3 linked regions of the Stegostoma tigrinum genome follow. The protein of the gene in region 1 interacts with the protein of each later gene in a pairwise test. Links are inferred from orthologs where the notes say so. Each region holds a gene or a part of one and is shown in the gene's direction. Other genes may lie near its edges.

Region 1 (7,931 bases):
CCAGCTTCACACTTTGTTATCATTGCCCGATTGTTTCCTTCTTCTTTCCAGCTGGCTTGGAATGCTAAGATAATTGGAAAGCTCTTGCTGCAAACACTGGATAAGATTGAAAAGGTTTGTATAGAACCTGCAACCTTCTTTTTCTCTGTAGTTCTGCAGCCCACTAAGCATGGATTCATTGGGTTAGCTTGAAGAAGAAACAAGTTGAAGCACGCTGCAGAGCATGCATGTGTGTGCTGGTGAAGCACTGTCTAAGCACTGTCTGTAAAAGCAGAGTAAAACACTTGTTTAATATTTTGGCGCTAAGAAGGGTGCGTACACATATTTGCCTTATTGGGAGTCAAATGATGTTTAGCCTGGAAACATTTGCTACCAGATGATTAAAGATTAATTCCCGCAAAAATGTGCGCCTTTAAATTAATCAAAATATTACAGTCATGTCCTGTCATAGAAGTGCTACCTAATTACAGAATGTTAATGAGCTAATTCCAGCAAGTTTGTATTTCATAATATAATAAAATGTGAGGCTGGATGAACACAGCAGGCCAAGCAGCATCTCAGGAGCACAAAAGCTGACGTTTCGGGCCTAGACCCTTCATCAGAGAGGGGGATGGGGGGAGGGAACTGGAATAAATAGGGAGAGAGGGGGAGGCGGACCGAAGATGGAGAGTAAAGAAGATAGGTGGAGAAGGTGTGGGTGGGGAGGTAGGGAGGGGATAGGTCAGTCCAGGGAAGACGGACAGGTCAAGGAGGTGGGATGAGGTTAGTAGGTAGCTGGGGGTGCGGCTTGGGGTGGGAGGAAGGGATGGGTGAGAGGAAGAACCGGTTAGGGAGGCAGAGACAGGTTGGACTGGTTTTGAGTGGGTGAGAGGGGTGGAGAGGTTGAGGCGGTTAATGTCTCGACGGCAGTTGGAGATGAAGAGGTCGAGGGAGGGTAGGAGGCCTGGGGGTGGTGTCCAGGAGGAGGACTTGTGTTGGAAGCGGGTGAAGGGGTCAGTGGAAGGAGGGTTGGGTTCCCGGTTGAAGAAGTAGGCATGCAGGCGAAGACGGCGGAAAAACTGCTCTGTGTCCGACCGTGACTGGTATTCGTTGATGTGTGGTTGTAGGGGGACAAAGGTGAGCCCCTTGCTCAGGACTGACCGTTCGTCCTCAGTCAGTGGGAGGTCTGGGGGGATGGTGAAGATTCGGCAGGGCTCAGGGTGGCTGTCTCCTCTGGGGTTGCAGGCTGTGGAGGTTCCTGAGATGCTGCTTGGCCTGCTGTGTTCATCCAGCCTCACATTTTATTATCTTGGAATCTCCAGCATCTGCAGTTCCCATTATCTCTGATTGTATTTCATAATTGTATTTTTCACATCATTTTACCATGGTTTCGGAGACTCTCATCATCAGACTGAGTTTTACTGACTGTGGCTGCCTTACTGAAGAAGTAACTTCTATTCAGACCCTTGCTTGTAACATTTATGGGAAGGTTGATAGTGAGGGTGCGACAGGGAACCCACAGTGGCTTGGTCACAGCGGGTAAAAATGAAACAGTCTGTCTTGTCATGTCTAGTCATCCAGGTCAATGGCCTTAGTTTGTAATTTCTACAACATTTACATTTTTGCCACCTTCCCACCCAAAATTTGCTTATGGAATCAGGGACATCCCTGGCACGGCCAGTATTTATTACCTATTCTTAAATCATAGAAGCAGGCCAATCAACAACAGTATTTTGAACAGCATCCATGCAGTCCCACCCCCTACCCTATCCCTGTAAACCTGCATTGCCCCATGGATAATCCGTCTCACCTAAACATCCCAAAACTACGGGCAATTTTGCAATAGCCAATCTACCTAACTGCACATCTTTGTTCTGTGGGAAGATCCCAGAGAAAACTCCACACAGATGATCACCCAAGGCTGAGATTGAATCCAGGTCTCTCGCAGTGTGAGGCAGTAGTGCTAACCACTGAGCCATTGTGTTGCCAATGGCTCTTGAGTAGGTATTGATGGGCTGTCATCTTGAGCTGTTACAGTTCATGTGGCTCAAACCATGACCATGCTGCTGGGAGGGAATTTAGCAACAAAACCTTCCACTTTTATAGTGCCTCTATGTGGTAAAAAATCTCAAGCTACTTCACCGATGCATATGGAAACAAAATTTGACCCTGAGCCATACAAAGAGCTATTAGGACAGGGACAAAAAGCTTGGTCAAAGAAGTAAGGTTTAAGTATTTTATTTAAAGGAGGATGGGGGAGAGAAAGATAGAGGAGCTGAGGTGGGTTATGCAGGATAGTCAAATGTTCAAAGTCAAAACAGCTGAATGCATGGTGAAACGATTAAAATTGTTAATCCACGAAAGATAAAAATTTGATGTATGGCGATATCTCAGTGGGTCTTTGTGCTGGAGGAGATTACAGAGAAAGGGAGAGGTAAGAACATGGAGGAATTGGCAAACATGAAGGAGAATTCTAAAATTATGCTATTTTGTGATTGGGAGCCAATGTAGTTCTGTGAGCACATGGGTCTTGGGTGAATGGGACTTGGTGCGAATTAGGACAGAAACAATAGAGTTTTTAATACACTGAATAAAAACCAAAAGTACAGCGGACGCTGTAAATCATAAACAAAAGCAGAAGCTGGAAAAGCTCAGCAGGTTTGGCAGCATCTGTGAAGAGAAACCAGAATTAACGTTTGGGTCTGGTGACCCTTCCTCAAGGCACTTCGGCTGGTGTAAAATCTGAAAAATACCACACAGATCCAATAGGGGGAACTCTTTTCAGCTGGGGCAATAGGCACTTTGTTGGAGTGGAGTATTTAACAAATGGTATTCCTGGCTGATAGCTCAATGCTGACACTTGATACGCAAAATGCCAAAAATATATCGTTATTCAAAAGTGAAAATTTAGCACAGAATGAATAAATATTTTTTCAGATACCAAAACATTTAAAAAGTCCAGTTTGAGAATACATTGCACAATATACGAGCATATGATCAATTAACAAGTTTAAATTGGCTACAGTGACAAAGCTGAGGATACCCCAAAAGGTACTTAATTGGCTGTAAAATGTATTGAGGTGAAGGAGGTCACGAAAGGTGCTTATAAATATTCAAGTTTTTTTTAGCTAATTCCTTTTTTAATTGATAGGGGCGATGATAGCCTAGAGGTATTGCTGCTGAACTGTAAATCCAGAAACCCAGGTAATGTTCTTCAGAGATAACAAGGTGTGGAGCTGGATGATCACAGCAAGCCAAGCAGCATCTTAGGAGCAGAAAAGCTGACGTTTCAGGCCTGGACCCTTCAACAGAAATGGGGGAGAGGAAGAGGGTTCCGAAGTAAATAGGGAGAGATGGGGAGACAGATCGAAGATGGATAGAGGAGATGATAGGTGGAGAGGAGACAGACAAGTTAAAGAGGCAGGGATGGGTTTAGGCCGGAATCATCAGCTTTCCTGCTCCTAAGATGCTACTTGGCCTGCTGTGTTCATCCAGCTCTACACCTTGTTATCTTGGATTCTCCAGCATCTGCAGTTCCTATTATATCTAATGCTCTTCAGATCCGGGTTTGAATCCTGCCATGGGAGATGATGGAATTTGAATTCAATAAATATCTGGAATTCAGACTCCGCGAAAGCATTGTTAATTATCAGGGGCGGAAAGTCCATATGGTTCATTCATACCCATTACATGTTCTGGCTGACTTGTGTCTCCAGACCCATGGTGATTTGCCCTCTGGGCAATTAGGGAACGGTCAATAAATGTTGAATGAATCCTGTGAATGAATAAAAAAAATTCACTAATTTGTCTACAATGTTCAGTAATAATGATACCTTTGACATATGAATACACCTCAAAGTGCTGCACTTCAGACTGCATGAAAGAGATGAGCAAACAATTTCATCTAAAAGACGGGGTGAGAGAGTGATAGAGGTACAGTGAGATTTAGGAAGAAATCTCAGGGCTTCATACCTGAACAACTGAGCACAGTTCCTAATAGTGGAGCAACAGAAAAAGGGGTTTGTAAGAGGTCAGGATTCCAAAATCAGATATCTCAAAGATCGTCATGGGGCTAGGCGATACTATCCATTCTTGGGATGTGGGCATTGATGGCAGGATCAGTTACCCTTAAATTGATTGGCTTGCTAGCCATTTCAGAGTGCAGAAAACAGTCAACCATATTATTATGGATGTGGAGTCACATGTAGGCCAGAATAGCAAGGACAGCAAGTTAGTTTCTTTCCTCGTTACAGAAATGGATTATACAAAAAGGGAGGGGACCGTGATAGAGGACTTTGAAAAAAAGGATGAGAATTTTAAATCTAATTATTTTCAAAGTTGATGCCAATGTAGGCCGCTACCCACTGGGGTGATGGGTAAACAGGACTTGGTGCGAGTTGGGATACAGATCAGAAAGTTTTGAGTGGGCCCAAATTTATGAAGGAATTGGAGGTCTGATAAGGAGAAAATTGAAGGGAATTAAAGAACATTAATGCATCTGCTGAAATGCAGGATTAAATAAAAGTACACATACTCATCAAACATTGCTATCGTGCTACCTTACATTGTGTAAAATTTCAGAATGCCCTTTTCGAATAAATATTATCTCGTCTCTGAATTGTTCTTTTGCCTTCAGTCCAATCCAATCTGAGGTGGCTCCGCTCACATTTTCAATGTCTCCGAAACAATGTGTCTTGTAAAACCTGTTTTCTTTTTTATCTTCTCGCATCCACAGTCCAGATTTTAGATTTCTCTCTCGCTCTCTCGCTCTCTCTCTGTCTCTCTCCGTTTTTAACAGTCCAGTCCATGAAACTGTAAACTCCTGGTTCAGATTTTTGTGACTGTCGAGGCTCACTTGCTCTCCCCTCCCTCTCCTCACTGGGCTGGCGGTGCTTGTTTACTCGACACAGCCAGAAGAAGTTTGCGCGTGGTTTAAGGTTCAAGGCTCCTCTGCTCCTCAAAATCGTATTTTTATTTTGTTGCTTGTCCACCAGTTCCCCTCCCTCAAAAAAAGAACAATTACATTTCAATTTATTTTACAAAGAAGAAACACAAGAGAAAGAGGAAAAAAATAATTGGGAAAAAAAGAAAATCAGTTTGGAGTGTGTTGAAGCCAAAAGGGGAAAATACCTTGAAGGATTTTGTTATGCAGTTTGGCGCCTGGTGTTCTGATAATTTATTAAACATTTTTTTTGTTTTGTTCCAATGGTGAATTAGTGATCTCTTTGATGTTTTCTTTGGGCGACTTTGCAATAGAGGAAAAAAAAGAAGAGGAAGCCTAGGCAGAAAGCCAAAGAAAATCAAGTTGATATCGGCTCAAGGAAAATTGTCTTGGAGGATATTTTGGTTTATGTTTGTCGTTTTCTCGACAGATTGTTTCCTGAAGGGATTTTATTTTTAATTCTCTCTCCTCAGGACTGGTAATGTGGGGGAAGAAAGCGGACAGTTTCATCTTCCCGTGATATCATCGAGTTAAAAGGAAATATAAATATATGAAAGGAGTTTGAATATGATATAAAAGAGAAGGAAATGAGGGCTTTCTTGCACTGGGGACTTTGCAGTGAAGCTACAAGCTTTACAACTCCAATGTGATTTCCAGAGCTTTTATTTTGCAGAAGACAATTGAGGAAGATTTCTTCTGCTGCTGTGGAAAAATTAATCCACCAGAAACAAAATAAAGGAGAGGGGAGTTTTTTTTTATTTCCTTGTTCTCCCCAACAATCTCGCCAAAAAAGATTTTGTGGACACGGGTTGAAAAAATACAGATTATTCCCCCACCCTCATAGACAGAATGAAGAATTTGTTCCAATTTAACTGTCAAGATCACTTTATTTAATATTTGTTCAGAGACGATTCAAGAAAATTTCATTTGGAGGGGTCCCTAAAATAGTTGTTATTCTTTGAGAGATTACTTTCTTTTGAAAAAAGCTGCCAGTTCGAAGTGCTGTCCCAAAAACAACTTTTATTAGGCTTGCTGTACATCCCTGAGTTTTATTTTGGTTTTTATTCAGTTATATCCAAGGCCTGTGTGCTTGTGGGGACCGTGGGTTTTGATTTTGATCTGCACCAGGAGAATTCCAGTTCCAGGATGGGGAGGAAGACTTTGATACCAGCCATGGTGACCCTCTTCATCCTGGCCAATATTGGCCCAACAGAACCAAAAGGTAAGTGTTTAAAAACCTTCAAACTAAATCAAGCTTTGTAATTTCACAGTCATTAAGGTTTACAGATAATTTATTCTGACGCGGGTGCATTTTTCCTTCTAAAATTCTGCTAATTTGTGTGAAAATTTAGTCCTGTCAACCTCTTCTCCCAGATTGCTGTAGTTTACGGCCTAATGTGCATCCCAAAGCCTGGGTTTGGATTAGAGAGGGTAGGGGCGACACCTCACACGAATGTAGCTGCAGCTAAAATCGAGAGTCGGGGATGAAGCCTGGACAGGCCCTGTTTTCTTTAATGTTCAGTTTTAAAACAAAAACCTCATTTCTTCCAATGTGAAGTTGTTCTTTTACCATTCTGACATTCAAACCGATTTCCCAATTTTGCTTGGATTTGTAACTGAAGATCTTTTTTGAATGTTACAGTCAGAGTAAACACATTGGTGAGAAGGCAGGACAGATGCAGGTTATTTAAGGAGAGAAAACATCAATTTTAATTGTCTGTGTGCGTTTCAAAAGACATTAATGTTGAAGCTCCTCATTGGGATTAATATGCAGGTTGACAGATTGTGATGGTTTGATTTGGAAAGAGTATGAGATTAATTTGTGAAAACTCTGAGCTTTCCATATCGGAACCTTGAAAATACTGATTTGTTATAAAACACTGCAGGTATTAAAATACCTCTTTTCCAGAATTTTCTGTCATTGTGTGAGTTTTTTTATCTCGCAATTTCATTCTAACGTTAGTGATTATGTTGATTTCTTGGCTAAGTGTATGAATCTGGACATGATCACTGATCCACTTTTCAAAAGTTGTTTGAATCCCTGGAATACCAGTGAAAATCCCATGTAATAAAAAGGAGATTTGACTTGTTCGGTCAGTGCATTGAAAATGGATAAGAGAGCATTCCTCAAGCATTAGGCACAGCCTGAGATTCCATGTAATATAAAGTTGAATTTCACTGATTCATGGTTATATGGTGGCTCTTTGTGTCAAAAGTTGGATCATTAAAATGTTTTTGTAAACTGGGTTCTAGTGAAAGTTGTGTCTGTGACTTTAAGAAAGACTTTCATTCCTACTTTTTAAAAAAACACATTGTGATGTGATTTATTGCCACCCCTTACTAATGTTTCATCTTTTTAAAATATCTAGCATGGGAGAAAATATCACTTATGAAGTGTGCCCCATTATTTTAGAGAATGCTGTAATATAGAATTTAAAGTTATCCCAATATTATAGACAGAAATGTGCATTTTAAAGAGTTCTTTTTATCATGTGGCGACAGTGTTATTGTGGGCGAAGATCTTTCACCTGTGGAAGTATAGATTACAGTCAGATCTGACCGCAGCGGGTGAGAATACATTGTCATCCAGGAGATGATTCTTTGCTGTTCAAGGCAAGCTGGCTAGTAAATAAGAGTCACTTTCACAACTGCAAAATGTGTCAAATAGATTTTATTGAACACTTTTGTTGATACTCCTTTGAAATCCAGCTTTTAAATGCTGCTGCTTTATTTAGTTTACCCTCCACCTCAACCCCATTGTTTTGTTTCAAAAATATTGTGAATTATGTGTTTGGTTTGACCGGCACTTGCCCTGAAATTTTTTTTTGTATTAGAAATTCCATTTGCTGTGAGAATTCAGGTGTACGAGCTGTTTCACTGGAGTTCTGGATACTACGTGTTTCGTCCTGGAGAAAGGGAGTTGTATTAATATTGTACTTTTCACGGCCACTAGACATCACTAATTGTGGTTTACAGACTGTGAAGCATTTTTTGAAATGTGGTCACTGTT
Region 2 (7,820 bases), on another chromosome or scaffold:
CCCACGTTAGTTTCACCAAAATGCAGCTCCTCGCATTTACCCAAATTAAACCCCATCTGCCACCTCCTCAGCCCATTGACCCAATGATCAAGGCTATGAACCTTATCGACGTCCCCTCCTGATTTGACAAACCTCTGCAAGATCACCCCTCAAATACCCCATGCTCCGGTAGGCCTAGGCTGTATGGCCCTTCCTCATCAGGCTCCTGACTCATTCCTGGAATTAATCTGGAAAACCTTCTATGAACTGCTTCTAATGCATTGACTTACACATTGATATAGAATCCCTGCAATGTGCAAGCAGGCCATTCGGCCCAACGAGTCCACACCAACCGCGGGAACGACATCCCACCCAGACTGACCAATCTGTAATCTTAGGTAAACCTTCTTCACTCTCCACTCCACCACCCATTTTGCTTTTATCTTGCCTCCTAAAGTCTCGTCTGCCGCTCAGCCGATTTCACCTGCTATGACCACATGCCGTAAGAGGTAGATTGTAGTTTTCTGGTGGCTCCTCACCTTCGGAGTGCTGTTCGTGAATCATGTTGTCTCTGGGAATTCTGCTTTTGTTTTGGTTCGCTCAGTGGGGCTTGAGGAGATTGAGATCTTTTTTTTTCACAGCGAGACAGTTTGAGGGTGAATTAAGTTAATTAGACTCACTGCCTGTTTGTCCAATGTAGTGTTTGTCACAGTTCTTGCAAGGTATTTTGTAGGGGAGTGTGGTTATGGTTTCTGGGCCCGTTTTGTCTGTTTGTTTGGGTTTGTTGCTGAGAAATCGGTGGACTGTGTTCATAGGATACCCATTCTTTTTGAATACGCTGTACAGGTGATTTTCCTCTGCTCTGCGTAGTTCCTCGGTGCTGCAGTGTGTGGTGGCTCGTTGGAATAATGTTCTAATGCAGCTTCGTTTGTGGGTGTTGGGATGGTTGCTCCTGTAGTTCAGTATTTGGTCCGGATGTGTTGTTTTCCTGCAGACGCTGGTTTGAAGTTCCCCATTGGCTGTTCGCTCTACTGTGACATCTAGGAATGGCAGTTTCTTATTGTTTTCCTCCTCTTTTGTGAATGTTACGCCAGTAAGGGTGTTATCCTTTTTTCTGATGAAGGGTCTAGGCCCTAAACGTCAGCTTTGGTGCTCCTGAGATGCTGCTTGGCCTGCTGTGTTCATCCAGCTCCATACTTTGTTATCTTGGATCCTCCAGCATCTGCGGTTCCCATTATCTCTGGTTTGCGATTACAAACTGGTTCAACCGAACGGAGTGTTTCTGTTCTGCAGGACATGTAGCATTGCTGAGCAGCTGCAATTCTGTGACACATGTGGCAAAGTTTCTGACTGGTTACTAAAAATAGTGTGGGGTGTCACTGAACAGGACTTTAAAGGTGACAGGCAACGTGACTAGAAGACAGTGTGCGTGTGATAGTGAGACGGAAAGAGAGAGAGAGGCATGCTCCAGTTCAGGAAGGGCTACTGTAAGCTCTGCTGCAAAAGGAACTGAATCACCGAAGCTCAATGTTGCTGGGGCTCAGGGAAGTCTTTGTCACCCCCTCCAGCCCCCTACACCCCCTCCCTATCTCTGTGCCCCCCTCCAACCCCCTACACCCCCTCCCTATCTCTGTCACCCCCTCCAGCCACTTACACTCCCTCCCTATCTCTGTCACCTCCTCCAGCCTCTACAACACAACCCTCGCCCCCCCCCCCCACCAAACTCCTTATCCCCATGTCCCCCATGGCAAGTCCACACTAACCTGCATATTTTAGCACGGCCAACCCACCCTAACCCGCACATCCCTGGGCACTACGAGACAATTTAGCACGGCCAATCCACCCTAACCCGCACATCTCTGGGCACTACGGGACAATTTAGCACGGCCAATCCACCCTAACCCACACATCCCTGGGCACTATGGGACAATTCAGCACGGCCAATCCCACCCTAACCCGCACATCCCTGGGCACTACGGGACAATTTACCACGGCCAAGCCACCCTAACCCGCACATCCCTGGGCACTACGGGACAATTTAGCACGGCCAATCCACCCTAACCCGCACATCCCTGGGCACTACGGGACAATTTAACACGGCCAATCCCACCCTAACCTGCACATCTTTGGACTGTGGGAGGAAACCAGAGCACCCGGAGGAAACCCACACAGACACGGGGAAAATGTGCAAACTCCGCACAGTCAGGAGGGTGTGTTCGAACCCGGGTCCCTGTTGCCATGAGGCAGCAGTGCTAACCACTGAGGAGAAATTGAGCGGTTTAGTTGGATTCTCTCTGGTTTTGAGAGGAATGAAAGGAGGTCTAATTGAGGCGAAACAGACATGAAAGGAGGTTGATAAAGTAGATGTGGAGCAGATGTTTCTCCTTGTGGGGCAGCCTTGAATGAGAGGCCAAGGGTTTAGAATAAGTTTTAAAACAGAGATGAGGAGGACCGTCATCTGACGAAGGAAATCTGTGGGGCTCAGGTACGCAGAGAGCAGTGAATGCTGGAACGCTGAGTAAGTTGAAGGAGGAGATTAGCTTGTTTAACTCAATTTATTGGCAACAGGTTGCAGGGAGCGTGCAGGGCAGTGGTGTTAAGGCCAAGTTGAGATCAGCCATGATTGTGTTGAATGGCAGAACATCCATAAACGGGCTGAACGATCTGCTAGTTACTGTGTTCTAGTGTAAGTAGAGTCAGCTGAAACATTTCCCTGCTCAGTTCAGTTCCAAAAAAATTAATTGGATCACTTTCTGCGGAGGGACATTGGCAGCGCTAAAGGTGGGGTGCAGGGAGCTAGTATTGTCACGCCGGGACGAACGGCCTCGCCTTGTGCTGTGACCAAAGGACGGCCTTTCTGAGAAAAAGTAACTGGTCCAGTCTGCTTTCTCCTTGTATGTTCTTTCCACGTTCAAATTTCGATTGTCGGGAAAAACCCGTGTGGTTCACCAACACCCTTTAGGGAAGGAAACTGCTGTCCTTACCTGGTCTGGCCTACACTGTAGGGCTGGAAGAACACAGCAGGCCAAGCAGCATCTTAGGAGCCTTCCTAGACCCTTCTAGGCTCGAAACATCAGTTTTCCTGCTCCTGAGATGCTGCGCTACCTGCTGAGTTCTTCCAGACCCACAGCAATGTGGTTGACCCTGAAGTACCCAGCTGCTGACCATAATCATAGTCCTTGTGCCGTTTCCCCTGTTCCTGACCCCCTATCCCTTCCCTATTCATGTCCTTATTCAAATGTCTTTTTAAACATTGTACCAGTGTCTGCTTCCATCGCTTCCCCAGCCGTTCATTCCACACACGAACCGTTCTCTGTGTTTTAAACAAAAGGTTGCCCCTCGTGTCCATTTTAAATCTTGCCCCTCTCACCTTAAACCCATGTTCCTCTGCCTTTGGTAACAATGTGTAGGGCTGGAAGAACACAGCAGGTCGAGCAGCATCTTAGAAGCCTTCCTGGACCCTTCTAGGCCCGAAACGTCAGCTTTCCTGCTCCTGAGATGCTGCGCGGCCTGCTGAGTTCTTCCAGCCCCACACTTTGTTATCTCGGATTCTCCAGCATCTGCAGTCCCTGTTATCTCCTCTGCCTTTGGACTCCCCTACCCTCGGCGGGGAAAAGACCTTGGCTATTCACCTTATCTGTGCCCCTCACGATTTTATAAACCTCCAAAAGGCTTATAAGCTCAGCCTCCAGTGAAGAAAGGTCCCAACCTAACCAGGCTATTTTTATACCTCAGGCCTTCCATTCCTGGCAACATCCTGTTGTATCTTTTCTGAACCCTCTCCAGTTTAACAATATCCTTCCTATAACAGGGTGGGCAGCACTGGACGTTGAAACAAAAGCTCGGAATTTCGACACAGCCTGAGGGGCTCGGGAATGCAAATAGAGGAATTAGGAGCAGGATTAAACAGTCAGTCCATCTCCTCGAGCCCCACTGTGCCATTCACAATCGTTTTAGCTGATCTCGTTACTCCAGATTCTCGCCTCTTCCCCCGACAGCTTCCCTCACCCCCATCTCGCTTCAGAAGACTATATCTACCCCGGTCTTAAAAATATTCAAACTCTCGGCTCCCACCGTCATGGAGTTACAGAGTCATTGAAACTCAAAACCTGGTGATGAGCCACTCCCTGTTTGAAGAGAGCGGCCCTGACTTTGAATCGGTGATTCCCCCCTTGTTCTGGATTCCTCCCCAAGAGGAAACATCCTGTCCACAAGCCCTCCCTGTCAAGGCCCCTCGGGATCTTAACGTTCACTCAAGACTGGCAGTGTTTGATGGAGGAAGGGGGGGAAACGGTGTAGAGGGAGCTTTACTCTGTATTTGACCCTGTGCTGGCCCTGATCTGGCAGTGTTGAATGAGGGGGTACAGTGTAGAGGGAGCTTTACTCTGTATCTAACCCCATGCTGTCCCTGGGAGTGTTTGATGGCGAGGGGGAAACAGTGTAGAGGGAGCTTTACTCTGTATCTAACCCCAAGCTGTCCCTGTCCCTGGGAGTGTCTGATGTGGGGGAAACAGTGTAGATGAGGCTTTACTCTGTATCTGACCCTGCGCCGTCCCTGTCCCTGGGAATGTTTGAGGGGGTGGGGGGTGGGTGGACTGTGTCGCTGGGGGGAGGGGGCGGTGAACCTTGCTGTGCATGGTGTTGCGATGGAATGTAAAGAATAGAGGGAAAATAGGCCAGGCCGGAGAACTTTCTGGAGGAGGCTGTGATGGTGAATTCCGAGGAACCAGGAGACCATCAACTGTTGTGCATGAATCAGCGAGTCTATTCTCATTGAGTTAATGTCCCCAAAGGCTATTAGCTGAACACTGCTGAAATAACGCATGACCACACATGCACACACTCTCTCTCTCTGCTCCTAAAAGCCCACTCAAGCTGCCTTCGCTCCTTCATTCATAAAACTTGCAGAAGCTGTCTGAGTAGCTTCTTGTCATTTTTTTCTGTCTCCTCCACCCACCTCTCTCTCTCTCTCTCTCTCTCTCTCTCTGTGCTGCTGAGTTCCCCTCCCATTCGAAGCCTGTAGCAGCTTCTGTCCAGGAGTCATGAGAACCCGGGCTGTAGCTCTCTGGCCTCTTTCGCCCTGCTGCTGATGGAGATGTCTCCTCATGGATTGACAGAGCCCACGAAACTCCGAGGCAACAGACAGTCCAGGAGTCAGCCCTGCCCTGTCCCTGTGGCTGTCAGGCCCTTGCATGGTTGTACACCGCTGTTGCCTGTCATCTCTTGTGTGTGTGTGTGTGTGTGTGTGTTGTCGGACCATGAACCCTGTTTCGATCAGTGCAGAGGGTCTGCATTCTGGACTGTACAAGTCTCCTCGAGAATTCAGCAGAAGTTTTTGCTTTTAATCTGAGCCAGAGGGACCGATCAGTTCACCTGACTCGGGAGGGGAGGGGGGAGGTGTGCAGCGAGCGACAGATTTTAAACATATTGCAAGAAATATTCCTTTCCCCGACACCCACCATTGCCCCAACCACATGCGAAAGCAAGCGTACTCCAGCCCTCGCAGGCCGTCGTGTGTTTGAGCCGTTTGCGAGCTGGCTGGTTCTATTCGTAGGGGAGTTAACAGCAGATCCGAAAGGGGGCTGGGTTCAGACCCAGGAGGAGGCCGGAGCATGAGAGAAGGTTTGCCCTCCCTGGGTGAGTACAGCCATGGATTTACTGCATAGGAATAAATACAGTCACTTACACAACGACAGCGCGTCTGAGGCCGTCCATGGGGAGGCGCTGGTCCCTCCTTCCTCCTCCTCCTCCTCCCTGGCTCCTATACTGCCCCATGATGGGGGGGAGCTGTCCTCAGGGGCGGAGGACAGCCCCACCACCCTGTGCTCCTTCTTCCCGAGGATGGGTAACCTGAAACTCGCGAACCCGGCGAGCCTGCTGCAGTCGAAGGGGTTCCCCGGGGAAGCGACGACGGTGCCAGCCCCGGGCAGCGTGAGGCCTGGTGACTCAGGAGCTGTGCCCATCTTCTCTCCCTCTCGGCAGGACATGAACAGGCTGGGCTGCGGAGGAGGAGGAGGTGGAGGAGGAGGTAAGAAGACACGGGTGGAGGGCGGCCAGCTGGGAGGAGATGAGTGGACCCGGCACGGTAGCTTTGTGAACAAACCCAGCCGTGGCTGGCTTCACCCAGACGACAAGGTGATGGGGCCTGGCGTCTCCTACCTCATACGGGTGAGTGCCTCTGAGACTCTTCTGTGTAATACCATTCCCTCCCTCCCTCCCCAAACCCTCTGCAGCGTCTCAACTGCCCCCCTCCAGCTTCTCCTACATTGCCTGCTGTACTTCAGTTGCCCCTGCACCCCCTCCCACGTAACACCCCACTGCCTCCTCGTCTGCACCCCCTTCCCGATTTCCCCCCACTGCCTCCTCGTCTGCACCCCCTCCCACTTACACCGCACTGCCTCGTCGTCGGCACCCCCTCCCGATTTCCCCCGACTGCCTCCTCGTCTGTACACCCTCTCAATTGCCCCCCATTGACCTCCCGTCTGCACCCTCTCTCAATTACCCCCCACTGCCCCCGCGGCTGCACTCTCTCTCAATTACACACCCGCCCCCTCGGCTGCACCCTCTCTCAACTACCCCCCACTGCCCCTTCGGCTGCACTCTCTCTCAATTACACACCCGCCCCCCTCGGCTGCACCCTCTCTCAATTACCCCGCTGCCCCCTCGGCTGCAACCCCTCTCAATTGTCCCCCACTGACCTCCCGTCTGCACCCTCTCTCAATTAACCCCCACTGACCCCTTGGCTGCACCCCCTCTCAATTACCCCCCGCTGCCCCCTCGGCTGCAACCCCTCTCAATTGTCCCCCACTGACCTCCCGTCTGCACCCTCTCTCAATTAACCCCCACTGACCCCTCGGCTGCACCCCCTCTCAATTACCCCCCACTGCCCCCTCGGCTGCACCCCCTCTCAATTACCCCCCACTGCCCCCTCGGCTGCACCCTCTCTCAATTTCCCTCCACTGACCCCTTGTCTGCATCCTCTCTCACTTGCCCCCACAGCTTCCTCTTCTGCACCCTTTCTCAAAAGCCCCCCCACTGCCGTCTTGGCTGCACCCTCTCTCAATTGCCCCCCAACTGCCCCCTTGGCTGCACCCTTTCTGCTGGTTCTCCCTTCTTAGCTACACCCTGTTAATGCCTCCCTCCCCCACCGTCTCTCATTTCTTCCCTGCTCCCTTTCAGTCCCAACCCCCGGACCGTAAATGTTTCTCTCCACCCCAGTCATTTCCCCTGCACTAAACTCTGGCCAGTCTGTGGCAACTCACTCTCTGCCTAAATAAGCATGAGCTCTGAACAAACATTCCTGCTGACTGCAGTGCACTGTTTCACAGAACAGTTAGCATCCTGTCTCCTGTTCACACTCTGGATGTGAGCGTCTGCCTTGCCCTCTGTCTCCATGTCGATAATTTCTCTCTCTCTCTGACTCTGTCTGTCTCTCTCTCTCTCACTCTGTCTGTCACTCTCTCTCTCATTCTGTCTGTCTCTCTCTCACTCTGATCTGTTGTCTCAGCCTGTTTGTCTTCTTCTATCTCTTGCTGCCTCTCTCTCTCTTTCTCTCACTAGCTTTCTTTCCTCGCTGTCTGTCTCCCCTGCAGTCGCTCCCCTGTCGCTCTCTCACTCTCTGTCTCCCCTGCAGTCAGTCGCTGTCTCACTCTCTGTCTCCCCTGCAGTCTGTCGCTGTCTCGCTGCCTGTCTCCCCTGCAGTCTGTCGCTGTCTGTCTCCTCTGCAGACTGTCGCTGTCACACTCTTTCTCCCCTGCAGTCTGTCACTTTCTCGCTGTCTCCCCGCAGTCTGTCGCTCTCTCACTGTCTGTCTCCCCTGCAGCCTGTCATTGTCTCACTGT
Region 3 (7,498 bases), on another chromosome or scaffold:
TGCTTGATGTGCAAAGTCATCTTGGGGCCTGGAATGGGGGCGAGGGAGGAGGTGTGGGGCCAAGTGTAGCACTTGCTTCAGTTGCAGGGGGAAGTGCGCCAGGTGTGGTGGGGTTGGAGGGGAGTGTGGAGCGGACAAGGGAGTCCTGGAGAGAGTGGTCTTTGTGGAAGGCAGACAAGGGTGGGGATGGAAAAATGACTCTGGTGTCGGATTGTACATGGCGGAAGTGTCAGAGAATGCTTCTAAGTGGAATGAAATTTGCCCTTAAGCTTGTCCACAGTTGCTGTAAATGTAACTGTCTCCTCCCCACACCCCGACTTCCAGTTTGGTCATTCTCAGCAAAATTAAGTGTGACATGAAGCAAAGTAGGTAAGCTTGTGCTCAAAATATCGGCAATGAGGTGCCACAAGGCATTTACCAGCAATAGTTTGCTTTAGAGCTGCAGTCAGTTATGTAGGTTAAGCAAGTTTTAATGTTGAAGCTTTTGATGCTAGGCTGTATGTACAGAGGGTTATTTACAAAAGTAGGTGTTTTTGAGTACGAACGTGCTTTGTATTTCTTAAAACATTTTAGTAGTGATTTGGTGGACCCATAACGTGATAAAACAATATGATTAGGTAAAACAACACTAATTGTAGTAATCCAGCAATAATGGATAACTTTAATCTATATATAGACTCTGCAAGCCACATCACCTGTGACAAATGAATTTCTATAGCGTGTGCTGGATTTTTAAAAAGACAAACTATATTGAGCAGTGATCGCCAAACCATCATCTCCAACACCATCCATGACCTCATCACCTCAGGGGACGTCCCACCCACAGCCTCTAACCTTAATGTTCCCCAACCCCGCATCACCCGCTTCTATCTCCTTCCCAAAATCCACAAACCTGCCTGCCCTGGTCGACCTATTGTTTCCACCTGTTCCTGCCCCACCGAACTCATCCCCACCTATCTGGACTCCGTTTCCTTCCCTTTGGTCCAGGAACTCCCCACCTACGTCTGTGACACCACCCACGCCCTCCACTACCTCCAGAACTTCCAGTTCCCTGGCCCCCTACACCTCATTTTCAACATGGACGTCCAGTCCCTATACACCAGTATTCCTCATGCAGATGGCCTCAAGGCCCTCCGCTTCTTCCTGTCCCGCAGGCCCGACCAGTCCCCCTGCAGCAAGACCCTCATCTGCCTAGCCGAACTCGTCCTCACCCTCAACAACTTCTCTTTCGATTCTTCCCACTTCCTACAGACAAAGGGGCTGGCCATGGGTACCCGCATGGGCCCAAGCTATGCCTGCCTCTTTGTAGGTTACGTGGAACAGTCCCTCTTCACACCTACATGGGCCCCAAACCCCACCTCTTCCTCCGTTACATTGATGACTATGTCGGCGCCGCCTCATGCTCCCCAGAGGAGCTCGAACAGTTCATCCACTTCACCAACAACTTCCACCCCAACCTCAAGTTCACCTGGGCCATCTCCAACACATCCCTCACCTTTCTGGACACCTCAGTCTCCATCTCAGGTAACCAGCTAGACACTGATGTCCGTTTCAAGCCCACCGACTGCAACAGCGACCTCGAATACACCTCCTCTCACTCACCCTCCTGCAAAAATTTTATCCCCTATTCTCAATTCCTCCACGTCTGCTGCATCTGCTCCCAGGATGAGGCATTCCACTCCCGTACATCCCAGATGTCCACGTTCTTCAAGGACCGCAACTTCGCCCCCACAGTGATCGAGAATGCCCTTGACTGCGTCTCCCGCATTTCCCGCAACACATCCCTCACACCCCGCCCCTGCTACATACGCCCCAAGAGGACCCCCTCATTCTCACATACCACCCCACCAACCTCCGGATACAATGCATCATCCTCCAACACTTCCGCCATCTACAATCCGACCCCACCACCCAAGACATTTTTCCATCCCCACCCTTCTCTGCCTTCTGGGGAGACCACTCTCTCCGTGACTCCCTTGTTCGCTCCACACTGCCCTCCAACCCCACCACACCCGGCACCTTCCCCTGCAACCGCAGGAAGTGCTACACTTGCCCCCATACCACCTCCCTCACCCCCATCCCAGGCCCCAAGATGACTTTCCATATTAAGCAGATGTTCACTCGCACATCTGCCAATGTGGTATACTGTATCTACCCACTGTACCCGGTGTGGCTTCCTCTACATTGGGGAAACCAAGAGGAGGCTTGGGGACCGCTTTGCAGAACACCTCTGCTCGGTTGCAATAAACAACTGCACCTCCCAGTCGCGAACCGTTTTAACTCCCCCTCCCATTCCTCAGACAGCATGTCCATCATGGGCCTCCTGCAGTGCCACATTGATGCCACCCGAAGGTTGCAGGGAACAGCAACTCATATTCCGCTTCGGCACCCTGCAGCCCAATGGTATCAATGTGGACTTCACAAGCTTCAAAATCTCCCCTCCCCCCACTGCATCCCAAAACCAGCCCAGCTTATCCCTGCCTCCCTAACCTGTTCTTCCTCTCACCCATCCCTTCCTCCCACCTCAAGCCGCACCTCCATTTCCTACCTGCCACCTCATCCCGCCTCCTTGACCTGTCCATCTTCCCTGGACTGACCTATCCCCTCCCCGCGTATACTCTCCTCTCCACCTATCTTCTTTTCTCTCCATCTTCAGTCCGTCTCTTCTCCCCCCCCCTCCCCTATTTATTCCAGAACCCCCTCCCCATCCCCCTCTCTGATGAAGGGTCTAGGCCCGAAACGTCAGCTTTTGTGCTCCTGAGATGCTGCTTGGCCTGCTGTGTTTATCCAGCTCCACACTTTGTTATATTGAGCAGCGGCTGTCCAAGATTTGATTTTGTGCAATCAGAAAGGATTGACTGCTATCGAGTACTCTGAACGCTAACCTAGCTGCAGCCTCCCCTGTCTTATAGATGGAGGTGTAATGTCAGTTGGTCACAACCAAGTCCTGTGTGCATTGATTTTATTTTCATGCAGTCATGCAGCTGTGCTGTACAGATTTAATGGTTATACAGCATGGAAACACATTCTTCAGTCCAACTTGTCCACATCAACCAGGCATCCCAATCTGACCTAGACTGATTTTGCCAGCATTTGGTCCATATTCATTTTAAACCTTTCATAGTCATATACTAAATCCAAATGCCTTTTAAATGCTGCAGTTGTTTGCACAGAGAGTTATTTCTAAAAGTAGATAATTTTGGCTATGAATGTGGCTTATGTTTCATATAGCTTTAGTAGTGATCTGTCAGTGTTTTTGGACATTTATTGTTAGAACCGTTCCACATCAGCTGGGAATTTGTTCCATACACTTACCACCCTCTGTGTGGGGAGGGGGTGTGGGGAAGTCATCCCTCAGGTTCTTTTTAAATCTTTCCTCTCTCATCTTAGACCAGTGTCCTGTAATTTTGGGCTCTCTCACTGTAGGAAAAAGACAGTGGCTATTCACCCCATCCATGCTCCTCATGACTTTATAAGTCTCTATAAGGTCACCCTCTCAGTGCCTCTGCCAGGGGAAAAAGGCCCCAGCCTATTCAGTCCTTTCTGTATAACTCAAACCCTCCAGTCTAGATGACATCTTTGTTAATCTTTTCAACACCCCCTCAAGTTTCACACCATCCTCTGTACAGGAGGGTGACAAGAATTGTATGCAGCATTCTAAAGATACTGCTGCAAAAGCTATTCTTCTGGTATTGAAAAGGTTGATTGAAAATTAACTGTAAATGAGAATCACAGGGTGAGATAGTTAATCCTGTATTGATGTACTGTCAATGTATTAAAAATATACCCGATCTGACACAGATTAACATAGGCATAGCAAAAATGATACTCTAGGGTAGCAAATCCAGCCCAGAATAGGTCACGGTGTTACATTTCAGGCTAAAAGTGTTTTATCTTGACTTCTGAACTATTCATTCAGTGCCAGTATTTATCAGCTATCTCTACTTTGCTCCTCTGTGTCTTGTCTTTTACACAAATATAAATGCTGTTTTTTAGACTATTTCTTAAGGTTACATTTATGGGGTCGACTATTACATGGGTACCACATCATTAACAGGAGCCCAATTGATCCCTCAACAAATAAAGGAAAAAAGATCACGAATTACAGTAGTTGCCGATACTTCTGTGATCCAGCATTGTTGTAAATGATCAGGGCTGTGAGAGCCATAATCTGTCATACCATCATCGAATGCTCTCTCTCAAACTCTTAAGGTCAGCAGATAAGAACAAACAGATTATTCTCCTCGTACATAAAAACCTGATCATTCTTTCACAAAATGACCCTGTATCTTCTCCTTTTTGCTCCAGTGTCCAAAAGCTTTCTGTCACCCTCGGTGAAACAATAAGTGGATGCGAGCTCTCTCCATTACTGAGTTCATTCTTTTGAAACTCTGACAAAGAAATGAAACCCAATAAAAAAAACCTGCTATTAAAATGCAACAGTATCCTGGAGTTGAAAACAAAATCCCACCAAACCTGAAACTGGATGGCAGCACTTTATCTCCAGCTACAGGTCACTACCATTTTACTGTTTGAAAAATAAAATGTTGAATGCAACTTGCATCCCCATCGTTGGAGTAAGGGTACATTTTGGGCAGTTTCCTTGACAGATGAGAATGAACACCGTCCAGCAATTGCCTTAAAATATAAATTATCTGTGAATAACTAAGGTGAAATTTTAGTAAAATATATGGGAAAATTCAAGACTTTGGTCAAAAATAGTGGGTTGGCTTTTCTGTGAGATCAACTTGGCACTACAGGAAATATACTGTGTCTATTACACATCTTTAAAAATGGCTACTGCTTTCTGCGCTCGCAAATGATGTTAACCTATTCTTTGTGTGAGCTCTTTGTGCTGTCAAAGATAGTTTTGAGCCATTCACAGCCATAATAATTTTATGGGTACCTTTTTAATTGTAGACAAGTGTCCATTACGTGAATTCCTTTATCAGGTTTTGAAATGAAGTAATCCAGTCTGAAACCAGGTATGGAATCTAAAGAACAGAAACTAGAAAGATATTAGTGTTGAGTTAACTGTGATTGCTTACTAGGCATTATGGTGACTAGGTAATAGCGAATATTAAAGAAACAAATGAATGTATTCCAATGCTCAGGCAAAGGAAGCTCAGCTGTTGCCAGTAAGGGAAATTAGGAATAGTATTAAATCCAAAGAGTTGTGTGAACTTATTAGAAAATGTAGTAAATCTGAGACATGGGAGCCATTTGGAATTCACCAAAGGATGACCTAGAGATTGATTTTGAGGGCAAAAATAAAATGAGTAAAACCATAAGCTATGCTGAAAATTTTGCAGTAAGATTATATAAGCATGTAAAAAGGTGAAAAAAAGTGAAGACAAATGCAGGCTCATTACAGTTTGAAATGGGAAAATTGTTAATGGTGATCAAGGAAATAGCCGAGAAATCTAACCTCTCCAGAAATTGCTGGAGAAGCACAGCAGGTCTATCAGCATCTGTGGGAAGAAAGCAGAGTTAATGTTTCAAGTCCAGTGCTTCTTCATCAGAGCATCTTCTTTATAAGAGGAGTCACTGGACTCAACATTAGCTCTACTTTCTTCCCACAGATGCTGTCAGACCTACTGAGCTTCTCTGGTAAATTTCTGTTTTAGTTTCAGATCTCCAGCATCTGCAATTCTTTGTTTTATGACGTTTAATGAAAATAAAATGATTACTTTAATTCTGCCTTTGTGGGATAAAATACAAATAAGTCCTCAGAAATATTAGGAAAGCTTTTTACAAATAATATCATTTGTCAGAATGTTAACTGTGACATTGTTTAGAACTGTTGCAATGCTAACGATTAGTCATTTGTTACAGCCAGCTTAATAAACTGTGCTAAAATATTCAAATATAGCAGTGGCCCAAATTATGAACATAGAAATTGGGTTATGTTTTGAGGGTGTTCAGTTTAAACTTCAATTGTTTTCTGTTTTTCAGATTATTCATCCAGTTATGCATTTATTTTTTAGGCTGGGAGATTTGTGGACTGAAGCATGAAGCTTGGCTTGTGATCCAAATTGATTAGGTCAGATTCCCTACAGTGTGGAAACGGGCCCTTCGGCCCAACAAGTCCACACCGTCCCTTGCAGCATCTCCCCCAGACTCTCTCACCACTGAACACTATGGCCAATCTACCTAGCCTGCACATCTTTGGACTGTGGGAGGAAACTGGAGCACCCAGAGGAAACCCACGCAGACACAGGCAGCATGTGCAAACTCCACACAGACAGTCGCCTAAAGCTGGAATCGAACCCGGGTCCCTGGCGCTGTGAGACTGTATGCTAACCACTGAGCCACCATGCCGCCCATGCAGAGTGTTGCATTATAACAATTCCATGCATACATTATTGTGTTGCTTTGCTCTGCTAATTGGGTTTGGAAGTTCTATTTCCATCCCCAATTGTATTAAAATTTATTTGCTTTATCTTTTATGTAAAGAAATCTCAAGATTCCCAATAGGGGCTTCCTGTTATGAACCTGTCCAAAAATTTGTGAATCCAGCAGTGAGGAAAATAATCATTAAAAACCCCAATCCCTGTGGCCGTAGTCAGTGTGCCATGGTCTGGTATTTAAATGTCCAGCAAGGCAAAGCACTGCTGACAGCTCCTGTGAATAGGTAAGTATGCATGTACCTGGTGTGTGAATGAGTGTTTAGGGTAATTGGGGTCTGTGGGTTGTTTAATTCTTGATAGGGGGATGTCTTGGGGCTGACTGGTGGGTGGAGAACATCAGGCCTGGGGTTGAGTGTGTTGGAAGTTAGACTATCAGGCAGAGTGAGGGGTACCTGGCCCATCAGTGGGAGCTTGGGTTTGTGACTCAGATTTCAGGAAGGGGCAGGATGTGACTTCCAGAAGTAAAAGATCAGGAGGAGAAGGAAGGTACATCTCACATTCAGGTCAGTGAGAGTATGTATATCATCCCAACACGGTTGGGGTTTGGTGGTGTGCAGTGTAATGTAGGGAGTGGTGCAGTGGGGAATTAGGGATGGTCAGTAGTTAAGTGGGAATTACATTTACATTTTTTAACCCATTTTTCTTTAGTATCTGTAAAGCTCATGCAAGTTGGGATTCTTCAACTTCCCCTCTTTTAATGGGTTCTTCAAAGGGCTCTGGACGTGCAAATTACCCTAAAGAATTTGTTTCCTGAGCAATTCTCATAGTCAGAAGCATTGAGGATTCCACGTGGTCCTCTAATTTACTCTGTTCCAAGAACTCTGGCCATCAAATGTCTGAGCCTGTATTCCTTCAAATCTTTATAAGTGAATATTAAAGATTCTACATCCTTTATTGAAAAGGTGTGAGGAGCCTGTTCTGACTCATTCCTCCATCCACAATTGTCATCACGGATCAATTAACTGACCTTTGTTTTATTGCCTCTTAAAACATTATCTAAAAACTGCTGCATTTGTGCGCATAGACGCAGTACTTCACAATAATTTATTGCATCTGCTTTTCAATGTTTGAGATTTGATAAGTTACTG

What was found.
Region 2: the proteins of insulin receptor-like (region 1) and shc1 interact in a two-hybrid assay, tested with the Homo sapiens proteins (2 studies listed by BioGRID and IntAct). The link is inferred for Stegostoma tigrinum from reciprocal best matches to the Homo sapiens genes INSR and SHC1.
Region 3: the proteins of insulin receptor-like (region 1) and mad2l1 interact in binary tests that used the Homo sapiens proteins (3 or more experiments, as listed by UniProt). The link is inferred for Stegostoma tigrinum from reciprocal best matches to the Homo sapiens genes INSR and MAD2L1.

What each region holds. Positions count from the first base shown.
Region 1 is NC_081383.1:6,991,473-6,999,403, reverse strand, and holds the start of insulin receptor-like, read left to right. Parts: upstream 1-4,896; 5' UTR 4,897-6,067; coding exon 6,068-6,143; intron 6,144-7,931. UniProt on the Homo sapiens protein: Receptor tyrosine kinase which mediates the pleiotropic actions of insulin.
Region 2 is NC_081400.1:5,338,554-5,346,373, forward strand, and holds the start of shc1 (SHC-transforming protein 1), read left to right. Parts: upstream 1-4,719; 5' UTR 4,720-5,628; coding exon 5,629-6,147; intron 6,148-7,820. UniProt on the Homo sapiens protein: Signaling adapter that couples activated growth factor receptors to signaling pathways. Participates in a signaling cascade initiated by activated KIT and KITLG/SCF.
Region 3 is NC_081354.1:68,625,619-68,633,116, reverse strand, and holds the start of mad2l1 (mitotic spindle assembly checkpoint protein MAD2A), read left to right. Parts: upstream 1-4,419; 5' UTR 4,420-4,434; coding exon 4,435-4,513; intron 4,514-7,498. UniProt on the Homo sapiens protein: Component of the spindle-assembly checkpoint that prevents the onset of anaphase until all chromosomes are properly aligned at the metaphase plate.